Linked DNA regions of Cricetulus griseus. The protein of the gene in region 1 purifies or fractionates together with the protein of each later gene. This does not show direct contact. Links are inferred from orthologs where the notes say so. Each region holds a gene or a part of one and is shown in the gene's direction. Other genes may lie near its edges.

Region 1 (9,879 bases):
ATGCACAACCGCATGATTAGAAATAAAACTAAAATCTTAAAAATGTTTTAAAACAAATTAAATCATATCTAGGAGAATTCAAAGTTTAAAACACAACCTCTCTTCCCTCTTCCAAAGCATTTTGGAGCCTGCCACTGAGTTCCAGCAGCAGTTGCTTGTGACACAACAGCGCAGTAGACCTGCGCTGGGAGATGGGAGTTTGAGGGTCTAGAAATTCAATTTCAGAAAAGAAAACTTAAAAAATTCAATCCATAGTCATTTCTAAGAAATTACTATGTTTAGGATTATGTCTGGAACCATTTTTTTTGCCATGCACATTTTGGTGGCACTGGGAATTGAGCCTCAAGCCTTGCAATATGACAAATACCCTGTTACTCTAGCCCTATATCCATTTTAATTGGTGTATATTTTACATAAATTAATACATGTGGTGATATATTATTTATGATTTACTAAAGACTGCCTGAAGGATCAGGATGCAAACCCAGCCACACTAGTTAGCTATAGAAACAATGCAGTGGTGGCACACACCTTTAATCCCAGGACTCAAGAGACAGGCAGATGGATCTCTCTGAGTTCAAGGCCACCCTGGCCTACACAAAGATAAAGGGTATCAGAGCTCCAAGCCTTTGATCCCAGCACCTGGGATCACAGGCCTTTAATCCCAGCACTAGGGAGGTGGAGACAGGAGTGTTATGGCTGGGCAGAGAAAGGAATAAAAGGAGAAAGAGATAGGAATTCAGAGCTTTGTGCCTCTGAAATGACAGGTTTGCCATTTCAGCTCGATAGAGAGAAAATCTACAGGCTTGGCTGCTTTGCTTTTCTGATCTTCAGCTTGAAGCTTGAACCCCAGTAGCTGTCTCTGGGTCTTTTATTTTTCATGTTACAAAAATATATATCTATTTTCAGGATAATGTTTAATAAGTTTTGAAGAAATCCATACAGAACATTCCAATTGTCTCCAAAAATCCCTTTATGTTTGTCTAAAAAGAGGTTAATTTGGGCTTATGTTTCTGAAGGCTAGAAAGTCCAAGAGAATTGTACCTGAATCTCCTTGGCTCCTGAAAAGGGCCTCACAGGGGAAGTTAGAAGGAAAATGGAGACTACAGAGAACAGCAGGGGTGGGGGGTGGGAGGGCTGGAGAGATAGCTCAGCAGTTAAGAGCTCTGGCTGCAGCCAGTGGTGGTGGTGTCCCACACCTTGAATCCCAGCACTCAGGAGGCAGAGGCAGGTGGATCTCTGTGAGTTTGAGAACAGCCTGCTCTACAAGAGCTAGTTCCAGGACAGCCTCCAAAGCCAGAGAAACCCTGTCTCGAAAAAACAAAACAAAAACAAAAACAAACAAAAAATTGCTTCCCAGCACCTGTACCTACACATGTGTTAAACACACACACACGCACACACACACACACACACACACACACACACACACACACACACACACACACACACACACACACACGGTGGGGGGGAGGCATAAAAGAAATAAAATCTTTTTAAAAGAAGATAGAAGATAGGACAAAGAGGGTCAGACACTTTTATTCTGGGGCCTGGGGAAATGGGGGGAAAACAACACTCACCATACAGTCATGAGGACCTGAGGGTAAAAGGCAGGTGCACCTCTGTGATGCCAGTGCTGAGAAGGTGGAAATAGGCAGAACCCTGGAGCTCACTGGCCAGCCAGTCTAACAAAAAAGGTGACCTCCGGGTTCAATGAGAGACCCTGTCCAAAAAGTAAAGTGGCGATGGATTGAGAGAGACCCCTCCAGGCCAGTCTCTGGCTCCCACACATACAAGCACATGAACCTGCATGAACATAGGCAGATATCCACATGTATACAAGCACCCAGCCTTACCTTTTATGTTGAGTTCATGAGTGTCCAGCTGTATGTATGTTTGCATGTATATGAAATAAGGAGGTTGACAACTGGTACCCTTCCCCAGGTGCCACCCACTTTATTACTATTTTGTGTGCCCCTGATGGGGAGTGGTGCACATGTGCTATGGCATATATGTAGAGGTCAGAAGACACCTTTGTGGAGTCGGTTTTTCCTTCTACCTTTTTGTAGGTTTCAGGGATCAAACTCAGGTTACCTGGTTTGTAATACAAGCACCATTTTGTTTTGGTTTTTTGAGACTGGGTTTCTCTGAGTAAAAACAGTATTGGCTGTCTCAGAACTCATTTTGTGGACCAAGTTGACCACAAATTCACAGAGATATGCCCGGCCTTTGCTTCCCAAGTGCTGGGATTAAAGGTGTGCACCAACACAAGCACCTTTAACCACTGAACCATCTTTGCTAGACTTTACCTTGTTTGTTGAGACAGAGCCTTTTTTTATTGGCCTGGAGCTCACTAGTTCTGCTAGACTTGCTGGCAGCTAGTCCCAGGGATTTTGGTGTCTCCTCCTCTAACGGATTACAAACACAGATCACCATGATCCATTTACTTTTATTTGGGAAGTACCTCAGTACTTCACTTGTACTTGTGAAGCACTCACTTTACCAACTTGAGTCATCTCCCTAGCACCCAAGAACACGTTTTTTCAAGAGCAAGAACTAAGCTAGACTTGAAATAAAGACATCAATACCCCTGAAAGGTCTCACCTATCAGCATTCCTGCATTGGCAATCAAATTCCACTAGGAATTTTGACAAGGACAGACCACCTCCACACCATAGTAACAGTCTCTCTACTCTTCCCCAAGATGACAACTAGCTTGACTTCTTTCACTGTAGACTAGTTTTTCCTGGCTTAGAATTCCATGGAATACTCTTTTGTGAGATTCTATTTTGTATCTGGCTTCTTTCCCTTAACCATAAGTCCAGAGGATTCATTTGTTGTCTAGTTCTTTGTGATTTCTGAGTGTCATTCTATTAATGTGATCATTGTCATAGTTCTTGGTGAATTCTTTTGTTGGGTACCTTGGCTGTTTCTAGGGTGTTTTTTTTGCTTTGTTTTGATTTTTGTTAATATAAATAAAGATAATCTGAACATTTACATACAACTTTTAGTATGGATATGAGGCATGCTGTGGTTGGGTCACCACAGCCAATTTTGGGCCTGTAGTAACTCTGGTTCAGTGATGTCATATTGATAGTTTGAAATAGCTACTGTAGGAATCTTTGTACCACAACTGGCAAATGCTACAAATTGCAGCTGTTTTCTTCCTGGAAAGCTGATTGTTACCATTTACCAGCATATCATTTGGATATATGTTTTCATTTCTCTAGTGTAAATACTTAGAAATGATGTTGCTGAGCTACATGACTGATTTTTAATTTTCAAATTATTTCTTGTCATGTTTTTCCAGAGAATTTAAAGAAAGAAATCTTATCCTTTTATAGAACCAACAGACTCAACCCATTACATACAAGTTCTCAAAATAACCGCTAACTTGTTTTGAAATAAGAAAACGTGACAGCACCATTTGGGATACAGGGTTCCTTCTAAATTCATCTAGTAGTCAGGGTGGCCATCTGTTACTTTATCCAAAGGAAAACCAAGACTCATAACTTCTGACAAACAAGTAACAACTTTAAGCTGGACACACAGAGGAAGTTCCCACCAGTCAGGGAGATGGGGTGTTGTTATATTCGAAAAAGGTAGTTTCAAGGCCCCTAAGGAAAATTTTCTGTGGTTGTAAAACTGTCAAGACACCAACCTAATCTTTTTTAAAGGGTGCTGGGGATTTAACTTGGGGCTTTGTGGTTCATTCTATTGGTGAGCTTCAAATGGCCAGAGAAAATATGTTTTCTAAAGGAAATGTTCCAAGAAAAAGAACACGTGCGTGTGTGTGTGTGTGTGTGTGTGTGTGTGTGTGTGTGTGTGTGTGTGTGTGTGTGTGTGTGTGTCCCTCTTATTCTTATTTTGATGTCAGGGAAAGTTCAATTTAAAAACTATGTTCATCCTAAAATATGTCCACAAATGGCTGCCACAGTGTTGCATTCCAGATCCACACTCCCCTCTTCACCTAGCCACCTGTGGCCTGTCTTTCAAATTCCTCCTCAACCATTTTCCTAAAGGAAGCCTCCCTCCCTCCAGCCAGACCACCAGCACGGTTCTTCTACTTATCAAGAATTATGGCTACAGTCTCCTAAAGCTGGTAAATACTGGACATCATTTAGTCCGATTGCACCCCATTTTAAGGATAGTCAAACTAAGACATACGAACGTCCTTTAAAATGTGCTTACAGCACTGGCTCCAAATTGCATTTAAGGGTTTTCTCTCGCCCTTATTCTTAAGCCCCTAAAATCAGCCCCAAATGGCCAGAAAATACACAATTAAAATCGAGTCGTCCTCCCGACACTCACACCAAAAAAAGGACAAGCTTTTTTTATTCTGCAGCAGTGTTAGGGTTAAAGTCCTTAACACGCAGTTGTCGTCCAGACTGTGCCTGAGCGCCAATCAGGACAGGCGAATTTGCCCTAGAGACTACCATTTGGGGCCACCCCTCCTAATCCGGAACACGACCCACATTCCGCTGGTCCTGTGTTGACGGGCGTGATCTTCCTCCAATAAGAACGGAGGGCTGAGTCCTGGAGAGCCAATAACAAGAAGCCGAGGGACGGTGGCGGCGGACTGTTAAGAGGAAACAAGAAGACAGGCCCAAGATGGAGGCGGTGGTGGTGGTAGCGGTGTGACAGGTGAGGGCAGGCCCGGTAGGGTTTGGGTTTTGGAGCTGCCGCCGGACCCGGGCAGGAAGTCGGACCGAAAGCTAAGCTCCAAGATGTTTCTGTCTGAATCTCAACACCCCCCGCCCGGAACCAAAGGAGTGGTTTGACCCGGGGCGAGACCATCATCTACCGCGGGAGTGGATAGAGTCCGCGGACAGCCTGCTGTGGTTGCGCCCGCTGCGAGTGGCAGTGCGCCTGCGCAGAACCTAAAGCCCTTCGGGAGGGCGGGACCGGGCCAAATGGGGTCTGGGGTCTGGGGCTTGGGTGCGAGATTCTAAGATGAACTCAAACCCCTCCAAGTGGCTGACATTTCCTCACCAAATCCAGGAGATGCAGCTCTCTCCCATGATTCCTTGTTATCCTAAAAATTCTACCCCTCTTAGGAAAATGTTTGAGGACCGCCCCATTACCCCTAATTCACCTCAGCCTCCTTCCAAGATTCCCCAGTGCGTTTACATCAGTAATGTATTTGTGACCCTTCAGTAGTTATCTGGGAGAATTTTTGGAGACCTTTTCCCCAACCTTACCTCTATTTTCCTCACCTGGATATCATTGTGTTCTTTTTCCTTTCCTTTTAGCAGTGTTTTCTGGTGGGCAGTTATTGCCATTTGCATTTGGCTTAAATGTGTAATTCAGTCTATTATCCATCTGCCTTTCATAGTCCCTAATGACTCCTATTATATTTCTCTTCAGCATAGTGCTTGGTGACCCACTTTGTGAATTCATCACAGTCTGGTGACCTCTATTGGCTATCTGACAGTGCCTTTAATTCTACCCTCAGCCTTGCAGCTCAGGGCTCTGGGATGCTCTCACAGTGCCTTTTAACATCATGGCACAGTCTCCATTTCCTCCAAATGGAGGAAAGATACGACATAAAGATACGACGATCGTCCATTTTTCCGTTCCCTGTCTGTAACTCCTTTTACTATACTATCTGATCTCTTCATTCTCCATTAAAAGCCAGGGCAGCCTGTTCATTCCCATTATGTGTTTGAGCCTTTGTTCTCCAGTACAGTACATACTGACATCCCCATTAGTCTCCAGAAGAATTTTGTGTACTGTGCTTCCTCACTGAGGTGATTTTGAGATCTTGGCACTCAACTGTGAGATAAGCAATAGGAGATTCTGAGCAGAGAAGGGTAAGCACCAGGTGTTAGCATTATCAGGGCTATTTCATGAAATTTGGGCTGCAGGGAGCAATGGGAGCTTGGAGATGGAATTTTATTTGTCCTCTGCCATTCTGCTTTCAAACTATTATTACTAGACCTCGGAATTTTTCCTCTGCCCTCTCCTAGGAGCCCTATGGCACCCGTTCAGTCCTACCTCAGCCCATCTTGACAAAAGCAGGTTCCATGGAACCACCACGAGGCCCTCCTGCTAGTGGGGCTGAGCCATCTCGGGCAGTTGGCACTGTCAAAGTGTACCTGCCTAACAAGCAACGCACAGTGGTGAGTCACTGAGACAAAACTGGCATGTGTTCCAGATGGTCCCAATTGTAAGTCTGGGATAAGAAGGGTGACAAGGGGCCAGGGAATGGCTACTGCAGAGGGATGGGATAATTGGCTAGGGCATTTATTAGGTACTCAAGACCCCAACCTGTGTACACATCCACACATAGGTGACTGTCCGGGATGGCATGAGTGTCTATGATTCATTGGACAAGGCCCTCAAGGTTCGGGGTCTCAATCAGGATTGCTGCGTGGTCTACAGACTCATCAAAGGGTAAGTATGGAAACCCTGTGCCATCCATTGGGTACCCAAAAACCTCTGTTCATCAGTGTCATCTTAGTCCTTCTTTTCTGTCTTGGAGTCTTCCACTAGTTGAGGTAACCCAGGTAACATCTTTTGTTTCACTTCATTCATGGACCTGGAAGGTCTGCAACTCATTATCTACTCAGCCTTCAGGTCCTCATTCCGTCACCTTCCAGAGTTCATCTATTTTGTTCTGTCACAATTTCCTGAACTCATCAGCTCTTTCTTTTCTCATTTCCCTCATGGACTGTAGAATTGGTCTTCAATGGTATTCTTTTATTCCTGTGTTCTTTGGTTCCTTAACTTTTTGGATGTAGTTCATGTTTTACATTTTATCTATTCTTTCAATGTCTTATCAGCCCCATTCTCAGGTGCTGGCTTAATACTTCTGACATTTCATCTCATTTGCCTCTTATCTCATGGTTAAAGATCATGGATTGAATCTGGGAATGGTGGGCATACCTGTGATCCTAGCAATTAGGCAAATCACTTCATCTCTTGAGCCTGTTTCCTCATCTATAAAATGGGAGTGAGAATAGTGGCTTTTTTCTTGGGAAATTTTACCTTCTTTTTTGTGTGTGAGTGTTTTGACTCTGTGTGTGTGTGTGTGTGTGTGTGTGTGTGTGTGTGTGTGTGTGTACTGTGTGTTCCTGATGCTTATGGAGGCCAGAAGGTTCTAGATCCCCCAGAACTGGAGATTGTGAGCCAGCATGTGAATGTCTAGAACTAAACCCAGGTCCTCTGCAAGAGCAGCAAGTACTCTTACTGCTGAGCCATCTCTCCAGCCTAATAGTGACTAGCTGAGTGAAAAGTAAACATTCCAGAGAGTAGTTCATGGATGGGGCTGAGAGGAACTTTTGGAACTTCCTTGTCTACCATAGCCCTAGTCCACCATCCTATTTGTTCTCTCCCATACTCCTTTCAGAAGGAAAACAGTCACTGCCTGGGACACAGCCATTGCACCCCTGGATGGTGAAGAGCTCATTGTGGAGGTCCTAGAAGATGTGCCACTGACCATGCACAATTTTGTAAGTGCGACAGGGTGGTGGGGGAGGCCATGGTGTTGACAGAGAGGGCCCTCAACCAGGCCTGGGTTTTCCCTGCTTTGTGACTGCAGGTACGGAAGACATTCTTCAGCCTGGCCTTCTGTGACTTCTGCCTTAAGTTTCTGTTCCATGGCTTCCGCTGCCAAACCTGTGGCTACAAGTTCCACCAGCATTGTTCCTCCAAGGTCCCCACAGTCTGCGTTGACATGAGTACCAACCGCCAACAGTGAGCCTAGCCTGGGGTGGCTTAAGGGATGGGGAGGACAGAAGCCCAGGTACAAGGGCTGACAGACAGCTGACCTACACTCACAGCCTTCTTGTTTTACACCTTTATGTCCTCAAGGTTCTACCACAGCATTCAGGATTTGTCTGGAGGCTCCAGGCAGCAAGAGGTTCCCTCAAATCTCCCTGTGAATGAGCTGCTAACCCCCCAGGGTCCCAGGTAGGGATGCCTTAGGTAAAAGGCTGGGGGTCAGTGAGGAAAGGGTCAGAGGACCCTGGTAGGTCATATTTTTATCCATTCGTCTACTTCATAAATGCTTATTGAGCATATACAAGTCTGTGGAAGGTCATGGAACTGTAAGGCACCTTGTCACACTGGCTCTTTCATCTGGAAAGAGGGGATGGTACTTCACCACAGTGGGTTGTGAAAATGATTAAGAGTTGAGATATGTGCAATGATTAGTGTGGGATCTGATACAGAGTAAATAATTCTTATTGTTAATTACAAATATACAAACATCTAACTAGTTTGTTTGATTCTTCCAGTATAACCACACTCAAGTCTGTTCTCTTTGAAATACATATTAGTGTATCAGAAAAGTACTTTTTTTTGAGTGGGAAGTTTTATTAGAAAGGGGAGGATACCATATACTTTTATATAATATATAAAAGGTCAGGTTAATGTATTTTTTTTATTTGTAGTTATGAGTGTATGTGTGTTGATTACCCATAAATTTAGTCTCAGGATGGTGAAAGGAACAGAAAAATGTTTTGTGTAAGGTGTGCTAATTCATGGGATGTAGAGGCAAGAGGATCAATAGTTCAAGGCCACCCTCCACTAATCAGCAAGTTCAAGCCTGAACTACATGAGACTGTCTCAAAACAGCAAAAAAAGTTTTTGTAACATGATATATGTGTAATCTTTATATTATATGTGTAATATGTATTACATAATATGATAATATGTATATTTAAAACATTGCCATTTTAATATAGGTAATATATATTATTACAAAATAAATAACATTTGAAAAATACATGTCATTATGATGATATGTAATAAAAAAATCATATCTTACCCTTTCTTCAACTATCTTTGGCCTTCATTGTCCCTCCTTTAGACCTTTTCCCCAATGTCACCCTTTCTGAGAGCCTACTCCTGACTATCCCAGGGACACTTTCTACCTTACTTCATTTTATTTTTCTCCTTTTTGTGTCTATCAGTAGCAGGATATATATATATATGGATATATACATATATCCATATATATATATATATATATATATATATATATATATATATTTCTTCTACCTCTACTAGAATAACCCTACAAGGACAAGAGCTTCTAATTTATGGTATCCACAGTTTGATCTTGAGTTGAGAGTGGAATCTGGTTTACACGAGGCACTTAGTAAATGTTTCTTGAACAGATGGTTACTGGTGTGACCAGTAGACATGTACTATGTATGAGTTAAATGTACATTCAGGGTGGCAGGGTTGGGCTTTCTTTGCTTTCTGCTTCCTTTTGCATCGATTTCATAGCCTTTTCTCTATCAGCCCCCGCACCCAGCCCCGTGACCTGGAGCACTTCTCCTTCCCTGCCCCTGCCAATCCCCCACTGCAGCGCATCCGCTCTACATCTACTCCTAACGTCCACATGGTCAGCACCACAGCGCCCATGGACTCCAGCCTCATGCAGGTGGGTGCCAAGGAGGCAATGGTGGGGAGCAACAGAGCATTGCTCTGAGCCGTTTCTGTTGTTACATGCTCACTTTAACTACTGCTCCCACCCCCTTCCAGTTCACTGCTCAGAGCTTCAGCACCGATGGTGAGAGAATCCCCCCACCCCTTGCCTGCACCCTGAGCTCTCTCTACCCCACCACCCCACTTGCATTCACTCATAGTATTCTGTACAACCACAGCTGCTGGTAAAGGTGGTGATGGAGCACCCCGTGGTAGCCCTAGCCCAGCTAGTGTGTCCTCGGGGAGGAAGTCCCCACATTCCAAGTCACCGTCAGAGCAGCGAGAGCGGAAGTCCTTGGCAGAAGAAAAGAAAAAAGTGGTATGCCATAGAAAATCCTTGGGGGCCACCACAGGCTAAGTGCCATGACTGAGGGTTTTGGATAGGCCCCTCTGATGCTACCCATCTGGCCCACAGAAGAACCTGGGGTACCGGGACTCAGG
Region 2 (9,765 bases), on another chromosome or scaffold:
TAAAGCTATCCTGGAGGAGCTAGTGAGCACCTAGAAGGGCCTCCAGCTGTCACTGTCTTCTACTTTGTGAGTGTTGGGATTCTGGGGGGGAATGTTTTACTTTTTTGGCTCTTTGGGGGGCCCAATACCCAGCTTCAAAATAAATCACACATGGAGGCTTATTATTCTTAGTTATTTATACTCTCTGCCTGCCAGCTCCACCTATTCTTGCTCTTGCCTTGCTACTGGCCATCCATCTCTTCATTAGACCAATCGGGTATGTTAGGCAGGCAAACTAAAACAGCTTCACAGAGTTAAGCAAATGCAGCATCAGCAAAAGTCAAACACCTTAAAGTAATATTCCCCAATACAGAGGTTTGCCACTATGCCTTTCTTTTTTAAGTAGATATTATAGCTTGAGAATTTGGTATTTATATTGCAAAATCAATCAGACTGTGCTTTATTTTTCTTTTGCTTTTGTTTTCAAGAAGCTGTCACTATGCAGCCCAGGCTGCTTTGACATTTTTATGTTAAAGTGTCAAGCAAGGCTATATAAAAGGCAGTCCTCATGTTGATCTTAAACACATTTGCAGGACCTTGCTAAACAACAAGAAAGACAACCTTGAAAGTAGCTATGCAGATCTGGAACAAGAAGAAACATTTGCATTTCTTTGCCAGAAATTCCACAGAAATTCTACATCCAAGCATGGTGTACCCTGATAGTCTGTTAAGGAGCTTTTGTGTTAAGTGTGTGGCTCAGTGTTTGCCTAGTGTGCCTAAGATCAGGGATTCACTCCCAGCACCTCCTATAGCATTCATACAGCAGCCGAACCTTTTGGTTTGACAGGAAAGGGATAGTTCCCTGAGGCTCTTAGGAAGAGGTAACAGTGTTCTTTAATGTGTTAACATCATTACTCACTAAATGATTTTAAAACATTATAAAACTGCTTCATAATTTGAATTTAGACAGGAATCATTAATAATAAAGTTGTAGATTATTATCTCAAGTATATTTCTAATATTGATAACAGGGTTTTTTTTTTTTTTTTCATTTCATTGTTAATTCACTTGTTCACAAAGTATTGTGGATCTACCAAGTGACAGCAGCTGCTCAAAGTACATGAGATGGGACAGTGATCCTAAGAGCTCCGGTCCCTCTACTGCTCAGACATGGAGAGTGGGCTATATGGAGAGAGTATTGGGTAACAAGCAGATAGGTAAAACTGTACCTATTGGGGATAATGTAGTAAGTATAGAAGCAGTGAGAATGATGCCGGATTCAGGGTGGGTTGCAGCACTGGGGATCATCAAATCTGGGGCAGCATCCATGCTAGGCAAACACTCTCTACCACTTAGCTCTCCCCAACCCTAGAATTACTTCTTTTTTTGAGCCAGCATCTTGCTGTGTAGCCTAGGTTAGTCTCCAATCCAGGTCCTCCTGGTCAGCCTTATGCTTGATGGGATTACAGATGTGCGCCCACTCCGCTCAGCTCAGGCTTGATATTTTTAACAGTGGTCAGGAAAAATTTCACTGGTAAGTGAACTTAAGCCAAGATTCAAAGAAGGCAAAGGAATCAGCCATGCAAAAAAATGTACAAGGTGGCCCCTGACTTGTGGTTTGATTTAGGATTTTGCAAAAGTGACACACACTTAAGAGAAATGGTGCTTCTTTTGTTTGCTCTGTGGTGAGCCACAGGAGGTTCCTGAGGGTTTGGTACAATCTACTGTGCTTAAATACTGTATTAAGAATTCCCAAGAGATGTCCGGGCGTTGGTGGTGCACGCCTTTAATCCCAGCACTCGGGAGGCAGAGGCAGGTGGATCCCTGTGAGTTCGAGACCAGCCTGGTCTATAAGAGCTAGTTCCAGGACAGTCTCCAAAGCCACAGAGAAACCCTGTTTCGAAAAACCAAAAAAAAAAAATTCCCAAGAGAGGCAAGATAGATGCCGAGGGAGCGGATGGGGCTTTGCAGTCACCCAGGGAAGACTGGCCAGGTGATGGTGGGATTGGAAGAGTCAAGATATATTCTGAAAGTAGAATTGGGACTTACTAATGGGTTGGGTCCAGGATATGAGTGAAAGTCCAGAGTGATTCTAGTCTAGAACCCTGAAAATTACCAAACCTGTAACAAAATGTTCTGTTGGTTGTGAAACCAAAATAAGCACAGCCAAGATGAAAACTACAAAGGTTTGCAACCTGTACTGGGTAGGAAGGAAGAGCATGGGAGCCATTACCAAAGCAAAGCTCTCCACAAACTCCACAAGCACTGGGGATTTCGTTCAGAGAGTCTATAGTCATATGGGAGGAGCCTGGCCATTCAGAAGCACACTCTCTCTAAAGAGTTCACACATCTTTAGACAGGAACACACATGTAGTCTGAAAATGCCTCTGTGTGTGCCCAACTGGTGACACAAAATTAAAATAAAATGGTTACTTTGAAGATATCTGCTATATTAGTTCCTTTTGCTGGGATAAAACACCATGACCAAGGCAACTTATAAATCATTTAAGCCCCGCGGTGGTGGCACTTGCCTTTGATCCCAGTACTCAGGAGGCAGAGGCAGGCAGATCTCTGTGAGTTCCAGACCAGCCTGGTCTACAGAGGGAGTTCCAGGACAGGTTCCAAAGCTACAGAAAAACCCTGTCTCAAAAAACAAAGCAAAACATCATTTAATTGGGCTCAGCTACAGAGGGTCAGAGTCACGATGGCATCAAGGACAGGTTCTGAGCACTCATCTGGAACCCAAGGAGGAGGCAGAGACACACTGGGAATGGCTAGTCTTCTGCAACATGCCCAGAGTGACATACTTCCTCCAGCAAGACCACACATAATCGTTCCCAAACAGCCAACTGAGGACCAGATGCCAGAGAGCATAAGACACTGAATCCATGACATCTGCCTTGTTTAGTTGCTAACCTAGGACAAAGGCAGATGCTATACCACCGAGCTACGTCTACAGCCCCTTATACTTTTTGAGATTTTTAGCTCTTGGCAAAGCAACCCCGCCTGGCCTTTGAACTCACTCTGGCCCGAGAGACACAATCCTTTATCAACATCCAGATGAGCTGGCATTAGACCTGAGATGAGCGCAAGCTTCGATTTTTCAAGACATTCACAAAACGTTCAAATTTCACATTTGTGTCATGAAATGACAATGTTTAATGAAGCCAGATAACCTACTGTTCCTTATTATGTAAAATGAGTTGGGGATGGGGCGGGTGGTGATGGTGGTGGAGGACCTGGAAGCCAGCTGTGCTTAAGGGACTTGACTCTGTTAAGTCATCAAATGGCTTTGAGTTCTGATTCAAGGTTGTAAATCCAAGTTTCTCATTTTCTGTGCACCGAGAGGACAAAACACAACTCTAACCAGACATGGCTTTGTATTTCAACCCTACTCCACCTCTTAGTGACCTCTGCAGGAGCCTATTGAATATTATTCACGGAGGATTTCAATAAGTTGGGTGTGAAAGTAATAACCTTTCATTAGAAAGGCGAGACAGTATAAATGCACTTGGCTTTTCCTTATTTGGAGCACAGTGTTGCCCAGGCTCTCCCTGTCCTCTTAGGAGCCTGCCTGGTAACCCGGCAGGTCGGGCAAGTAGAGACTGCCCCTAAGGCGCACTCAATTGTCTTAACGCTACACCAGGGGATCTTTTCTCCCACGTCACGGGCCGCACGATTTTGTCCCTGCTGTGAATTGTGGGTGTTGGGACAAACATCAGAAGCCATCGGCGAGCCGGCAGCCCGGTGGGAGGCTGGCGACGGGCACCGGGACAGGGTCCCCCACCCGAGTGCTGGCGGCTGCGCCCGCGCCTGCCCTTGTTTGGCCGCGCGGCCTCGGGGGCGGTGCCGTCCGCGTCAGCGGCGCCCGCGGTGACGGCGACGTGCGGCCCGCGCCACTGCTGCCCGCGGACGCCCCGGACCCCCGGAGCTCATGGCCCAGGCGAAGATCAGCGCCAAGGCCCACGAGGGTCGCTTCTGTCGCTCCTCGTCCATGGCAGACCGCTCCAGTCGCCTGCTGGAGAGCCTGGACCAGCTGGAGCTCAGGTGAGGGCGGGCGGGCGGGTGAGCGTGCAGGCGGGGGCGCCTCGGGTGGGCTCCACTCCCCGGGCGAGCGCGCGCGGCCTGCCCAACTTCCAGAACCTTGTGTGTGGTCCCCGCTGCCTCTAACTTCCACGTTTCCAGTAATGCTCTTTGGAGGGAGGCAGCAGCTTAGTGGGGTCTCTCCCTCCCACCTTCCCATTGTAGTAAGTTTCTTTGCCCCAAACCACTTCATAGTAACACAAGAGTAAGGAAAATTCCAGACTGCACCTCCCGCGACCAGCGAGAATTAGACCCACGAGTGGCCGTTGTGGGTGGCAAAGTTGGATGCGTTCTTTCATTTTCTTAACCACGTGCAATGCCCTCCGCATTCGGTCTGTATCTGTTGTGCATTTAGAAGATACTGATGACACCTAGGAAGTGCCAGCCACAGGCCTGAAAAGGTACGAGTCACACTCTGCCTGAGATTCTATCGCAGGATCGGTGTTGTAGTAAAATTTCTAAATAGTAAATACTAGCAAATGCTGTAAATACTTTGTTGCCTACAGCAATTTGAGATCTTACCTATCTGGTTAATGTCTCCGAAGTTGTGCAAGTCTTGATTGTGTGCAGGTGTTGTTCCATGAAAATCTTATCAAGGCACCCTGGGTCTTCTGGAACTGCGAACATTTTGTTCCCTAGTTTTCTCCAGGTTCTGCATAAGCAAAAGAATATGAGCAAAATCATAAGAGTCTTGTGTGCCTAATCTCCTTCCATTCGTCCACCAAACAAACAAACGGGAGGATGTTTGCACAGAAAACTACCACAAGCAGCATTGTTACAAATGAGGCATTTGTTATTATTACTATTAGGAGCAGAGATCCAGACGGTGAGAAATTTTTTTCACAATTTCCTGAGTAGCCACAAGAGAAGCCTTAACCATACAGTCCCCAGCCCGGAGTGAGACAAAGGGACCTCAGCTTTCAAGCCCTTCTGAGGAGAGGGAATGCTTCCCTCTACAAAGTAGGCACTGAACTTGGACAGTATATTCTCAACTGCTCAGATTTTTTTCTCCTTGAAAGGGTTTAGGAAGTTGTTACTCTTCTTTAGCTGAGTCACTGTCCTGAAACCTGAATTAATGCCTCCCTAGTGCTGGGTAGGGGGGTGGAGGGGGTTCCTGAAAGCCTTGGGTTTGGTGTTGCAGTCTAATGTTTGGTTAATGTAAAAGGAATTCTGACTGTTGCACATATGTGATTAATTGATACTTTAACTATTTGCTGAGAGGGAGAGTTTAATGTGTGTTTAATGGCTCAAGGCATGGGGCTCCTTTTTAGAAGCCACTTTGACACAGGGCACTGCACTATTAAAAATTTAGACTTTTAGCTGGGCAGTGGTGGCACACACCTCTAATCCCAGCACTCGGGAGGTAGAAGCAGGTGGATATCTGTGAATTTGAGGCCAGCCTGGTCTACACAGTGAGTTCCAGGACTGGCTTCATAGTTACTGAGAAACCCTGTCTTAAAAAAAAACAAAATAAAACAAAACAAAATTTTTAAATATGGATGATAGAGGAAAGATGAAGCTTGTGTGATTTCCCGATACTAGCTTCCTTGTATACAAATATTAGCAAGGCTGTGGATTTGGTGCTGTAAAACCCTGGTTTGTAGATAGTATGCATTTTCCAGTCAGTTGTGTGGATTCTATTGACAGTGGAAGTCACTTTTTCTTCTGAAACTGAAACCACATCAAAGGCTTTATATCCTGGAGGCTGAACTGACCTCTGGGATTGCCTAAAATGCTTTAAAATGTTCAGCCCTGTTTTACAAGCTGTTAGTGGATTGTCGTTCGTTTCTATTAGTTTATAATATTAACTACACTATCTGACATTAAAAAAAATATTTTCTACTACAGCTCCTCTAAAGAGGTAACCCTGTCCTTTCTTGATTTTTGCGACCAGTTCTATGGGATTCTGCGCCCTTCGTGGCTAGATGGCTTACTTATTACTTTTTAATGTTTATCCTAGTTTATAAATAATACATGTTAGCATCTATCTGCATGCTAGGCCTCATGCCTCTGTGGGAGTTACCATTATCTGTATTCTACAGATGAGAAATTGAAGCTCAGATATAAACGACATGCCTCAAGTTGCAGCCAAGAGCTGTGGACTCCACGTTTGAACACAGGAAGAGGGGCTGCTCAGATCAAACACCATGTGTCTTAGTGTTGAATATATCATTTTTCAAACTGTCCAGTTGGCATAAGAACGTGCTTTTACTAAAAGAAAAATCAATTTAGCATTTAATTGAGTAAATATTGAGCACCCAGTACGTGCCAAGTATTGAGTAGCTTCTAGAAGCTGTGGGTGATAAAGCAGCTGGGTCTCGGGGATTGGCAGAGGAGGAATGAATGATAGGTAGGACTGGGAGGTCGGCTGTCCGTACACTTCCCAAATGGTCCCATAGGGAGTAGTTCTTTCCAGTCCACCCAGGCAGGAAATGATGTTGTCGCCAGGGCCAAGGAAATGCACTGTCCGCTGCTTTGGTTTCTTACTGCTTAAGGTTCCTGTCAGGATGTCCCAGTGTCCCAGGACTCACAAAGCAAGTCGACACCATATTTAATTGGAGTAATAGTCTGTAATTTAAAAGAACACTTTTCATATACCTTGTAATTTGAAACTTCTATAACCCTTGAGGAGGAGGAAGCTGTTATTATCTCTTTCAGCTGTGAGAGCAGTGGGTTGCAAAGGAGCTTAGTTGATAGGATGCTTGTCTAGCAGGTTCAGAACCCTACGTTTGATACCTGGCTTCAGAAAGCCAGCATGGTGGTGCATGCCTATAGTCCCAGTCCTAGAGACAAGAGGATCAGAAGTTCAAGGTCATCCTGGGCTATACAGTGAGTTCTGGGCCAGCCTGGAATACATGAGACCTGTCTGGATGGGGGGGGAGGAGAAACTGAGGGACTAGGTACCTTGTCTTAATCTATTGTACTGGTGAGTCATTCTGACTGTGAATGAGTGCTACATTTTGGTGAAGGAGAGAACCTTGCTGTCCTGACAGTATCAGGAATTGCAGCAGATGCCATGGTCTCACATGGAGCCTCGTCTGTGAGTTTAAGATCTTGTTTTAGAAAAAGTTCCTTTCTCATAAATCCACTGATGTGAACGTTTGCCAGTTCCCTGTTCATAGAAGCATACATTTTTGTTAACAAATGAGAGTGTGGCCGTGAGTAAGTCTAGAATAACCACCGTGAATCTCCTGCAGCTGATGTCATGCATAGCGTTTGACTCATGCCAAAGTTTTCAGCCGGTGCTGTCATTCTGGTTTGCTTTGTTCGGTCACGGCCAGGTCTCCTTATCCTTGGTGTCCTGGGTGAGGACATTTTGGTGAAGTCAGCAGTAGTTCCTCACACAGCATGGGTGGTAGCTCCGGAGTTGTCACTTTTGTGAGCTGCTGTCTGGTGACACCTGTCTGCACCTGCCCTTCTACCAGTTTGCCCTTGCTGCAGGCTTATGAGATGCCGGGAGGCTGGGGACCAAGTGAGGATGCTGCAGTTTTGTGTGCATGGAAATTCTCCCTACAGTCTCTTTGCCAGAGCCCGCTCAGAGTGCAGCTTGCCAGAGGTGCCGCCCAGTCAGCGGGGCTGTGAGATGCCTCCTTTCCCAATTTGGACATGTAGCTGCTCCCTGGATCCCAGTCCCCACAGAAATGCCCCTTGATGACAAGAGAAGAATCATCACATGTGTTTATCAAGACTGGATGTTTATATCTGTCTATCTACTTAAGAAACTAATAGGAAGGGAGGCAGACAGTATATAAGGTTCAGTCACTAACCTCAGACTAATGGAAAAGCTACATAGACAAAATTCTGTGAATTGAGTTTAAGTACAGCAATAAAACAGTGCAAACATAATTTAAACAAGCTGAGTAGTGAGGAATGCTGGCCTAGTGCACATGAAACCCTAGGTTCCATCGCCAGTACAGATAAACCAGGCATCGTCTATGTCTGTAACACCAGCACTCAGGAGGTAGAAGTGGAAAGGTCAGAAGCTCAAGTGGATTCCAAGCTAGCCTGGGATACATGAGGTCCTGTCTCAGAGGGAAGAGGGTGGGGGTAAGACCAATGAACAGTGCTGTCCTGCCTTCTTTTAAAGTCAGCTTGAAACAAGCTAGGGCCATTTGGGAAGAATGACTCTCAACTGAGAAAATGCCTCCATAAGATCAAGCTGTAGGCAAGAAAGCCTTTTTTGGGCAGTGGTTCTCAACGTTCCTAATGCTGTGTAACCCTTTAATACAGTTCCTCATGTTGTGGTGACCCCCAACCAGAAAATTATTATCGTTGCTACGTCATAACTATAATTTTGCTGCTTTTATGAATTGTAATGTGTTTTCCGATGGTCTTGGGCAACTCCTGTGAAAGGGTTGTTTGACCCCCCCCCCAGCCCCAAGGGGTTGAGAACCACTGCTTTGGGATATTTTGTTTTCTTTTTTATAATTAGTGATTGGTGTAGAAGAAGCCATCCATTGTGGGTGGCACCATGCCTGGGCTGGAGTTCTTTCTATAAGAAAGACTGAGCAAGCCATGAGGGAGCCAGCCAGTAAGCAACATTTTTGTAGCCTCTGAATCAGCTTCTACCTCCAGGTTCCGTCCTGTTTGAGCACACGGACTGCATTCAGTGGTGCACTGTGATGTGGAAGAGTCAGAAAAATAAACCCTTTCCTCCCCAGGTCACTCTTGCTCATGCTGATCTGTCACAGCAATAGACACCATGACTAAGACAAGTGCCAAGGAAGGTACTCATTTCCTTAAGGAAAAGGAAGAGGGAAGCTGTGAACAGTCCCTGCCCAAGGGAAACAGAATTTTTTAAAATACCCTAAATATCAGGAAGAATGTTGGAGGAAGAAAGAACAGAAAATGAAAGGCCCACGATAAATGTAGAAATATATGTAGACATGTATATCGCTCTGGCAATTTCTACTATGCATAAAGAACTTTCAGGGGAAGGAAGATCCCCCATCAGTCAATATCATTCTCTCTCTCTCTCTCTCTCTCTCTCTCTCTCTCTCTCTCTCTCTCTCTCTGAGATCAAACTCAAGGCTTTATAAATCTAAGCACATCCTGGACCTCAAAGCTACATCCCTGGCTCAAATAGCTTCTTTATACACAGAGCTGTTTTCCCCTAGGACGTTTCCTTTTTAATCTGTTTCATTAACCCCACAAACTAAGGGCTGCACCTGAGTACTGTAATGAAGCCCTTTTAGAACAGCATCCATCCCTCAGTCATATTTAATACAAGTGCAAGTGCTAAAATGTAATCCCGTCGTTCTGAGTCTGTGCATCATCTCTCTAAACACTGGAGTCATAATTAGAGTTTCTAATTATAAACATTTCACATCTTGCCAGCTGGGCCTCTTTCTTACCTACTGGGCTCTCATTTATCTGCAGGAGGCCACTACTGTAATACAGTGGGCTTAGAAGGAGCTTGTTGCCCTACCAATATTTTGTCTTGTTTGGTTTGTGGCCAGATTTGTACATACAATTCTTGGCTGCTCGTACTGGCTCTTTAGAGACGTGCTATAAGTGAACCACCCCAAAGTGCTATTTTGGGGTTTGACAGGTGGGTGACATGTGGATGGGTTGAGAATGGGAGGTCACGGGTTGATGTGTGCTAATAAAAGGTTGGTGAGATTGTTCCCTCTCTGGCCACTTCCACTAGTGATCTGGGTTGGAACGCCTGCCTGTGGCCTCATGTTCTGGGGTCATCTACAA

What was found.
Region 2: the proteins of Araf (region 1) and Bag2 purify together in Homo sapiens (affinity purification with mass spectrometry; 3 studies listed by BioGRID and IntAct, with this or other methods). This does not show direct contact. The link is inferred for Cricetulus griseus from reciprocal best matches to the Homo sapiens genes ARAF and BAG2.

What each region holds. Positions count from the first base shown.
Region 1 is NC_048604.1:125,698,302-125,708,180, forward strand, and holds the start of Araf (serine/threonine-protein kinase A-Raf), read left to right. Parts: upstream 1-4,488; 5' UTR 4,489-4,644; intron 4,645-4,959; exon of another isoform or gene 4,960-5,813; intron 5,814-5,969; 5' UTR 5,970-6,026; coding exon 6,027-6,122; exon of another isoform or gene 6,123-6,157; coding exon of another isoform or gene 6,158-6,169; intron 6,170-6,292; coding exon 6,293-6,396; intron 6,397-7,351; coding exon 7,352-7,454; intron 7,455-7,543; coding exon 7,544-7,698; intron 7,699-7,815; coding exon 7,816-7,914; intron 7,915-9,237; coding exon 9,238-9,394; intron 9,395-9,495; coding exon 9,496-9,523; intron 9,524-9,617; coding exon 9,618-9,757; intron 9,758-9,853; coding exon 9,854-9,879. UniProt on the Homo sapiens protein: Involved in the transduction of mitogenic signals from the cell membrane to the nucleus. May also regulate the TOR signaling cascade. Phosphorylates PFKFB2.
Region 2 is NW_023276807.1:14,224,720-14,234,484, forward strand, and holds the start of Bag2 (BAG family molecular chaperone regulator 2), read left to right. Parts: upstream 1-3,842; 5' UTR 3,843-3,913; coding exon 3,914-4,026; intron 4,027-9,765. UniProt on the Homo sapiens protein: Co-chaperone for HSP70 and HSC70 chaperone proteins. Acts as a nucleotide-exchange factor (NEF) promoting the release of ADP from the HSP70 and HSC70 proteins thereby triggering client/substrate protein release.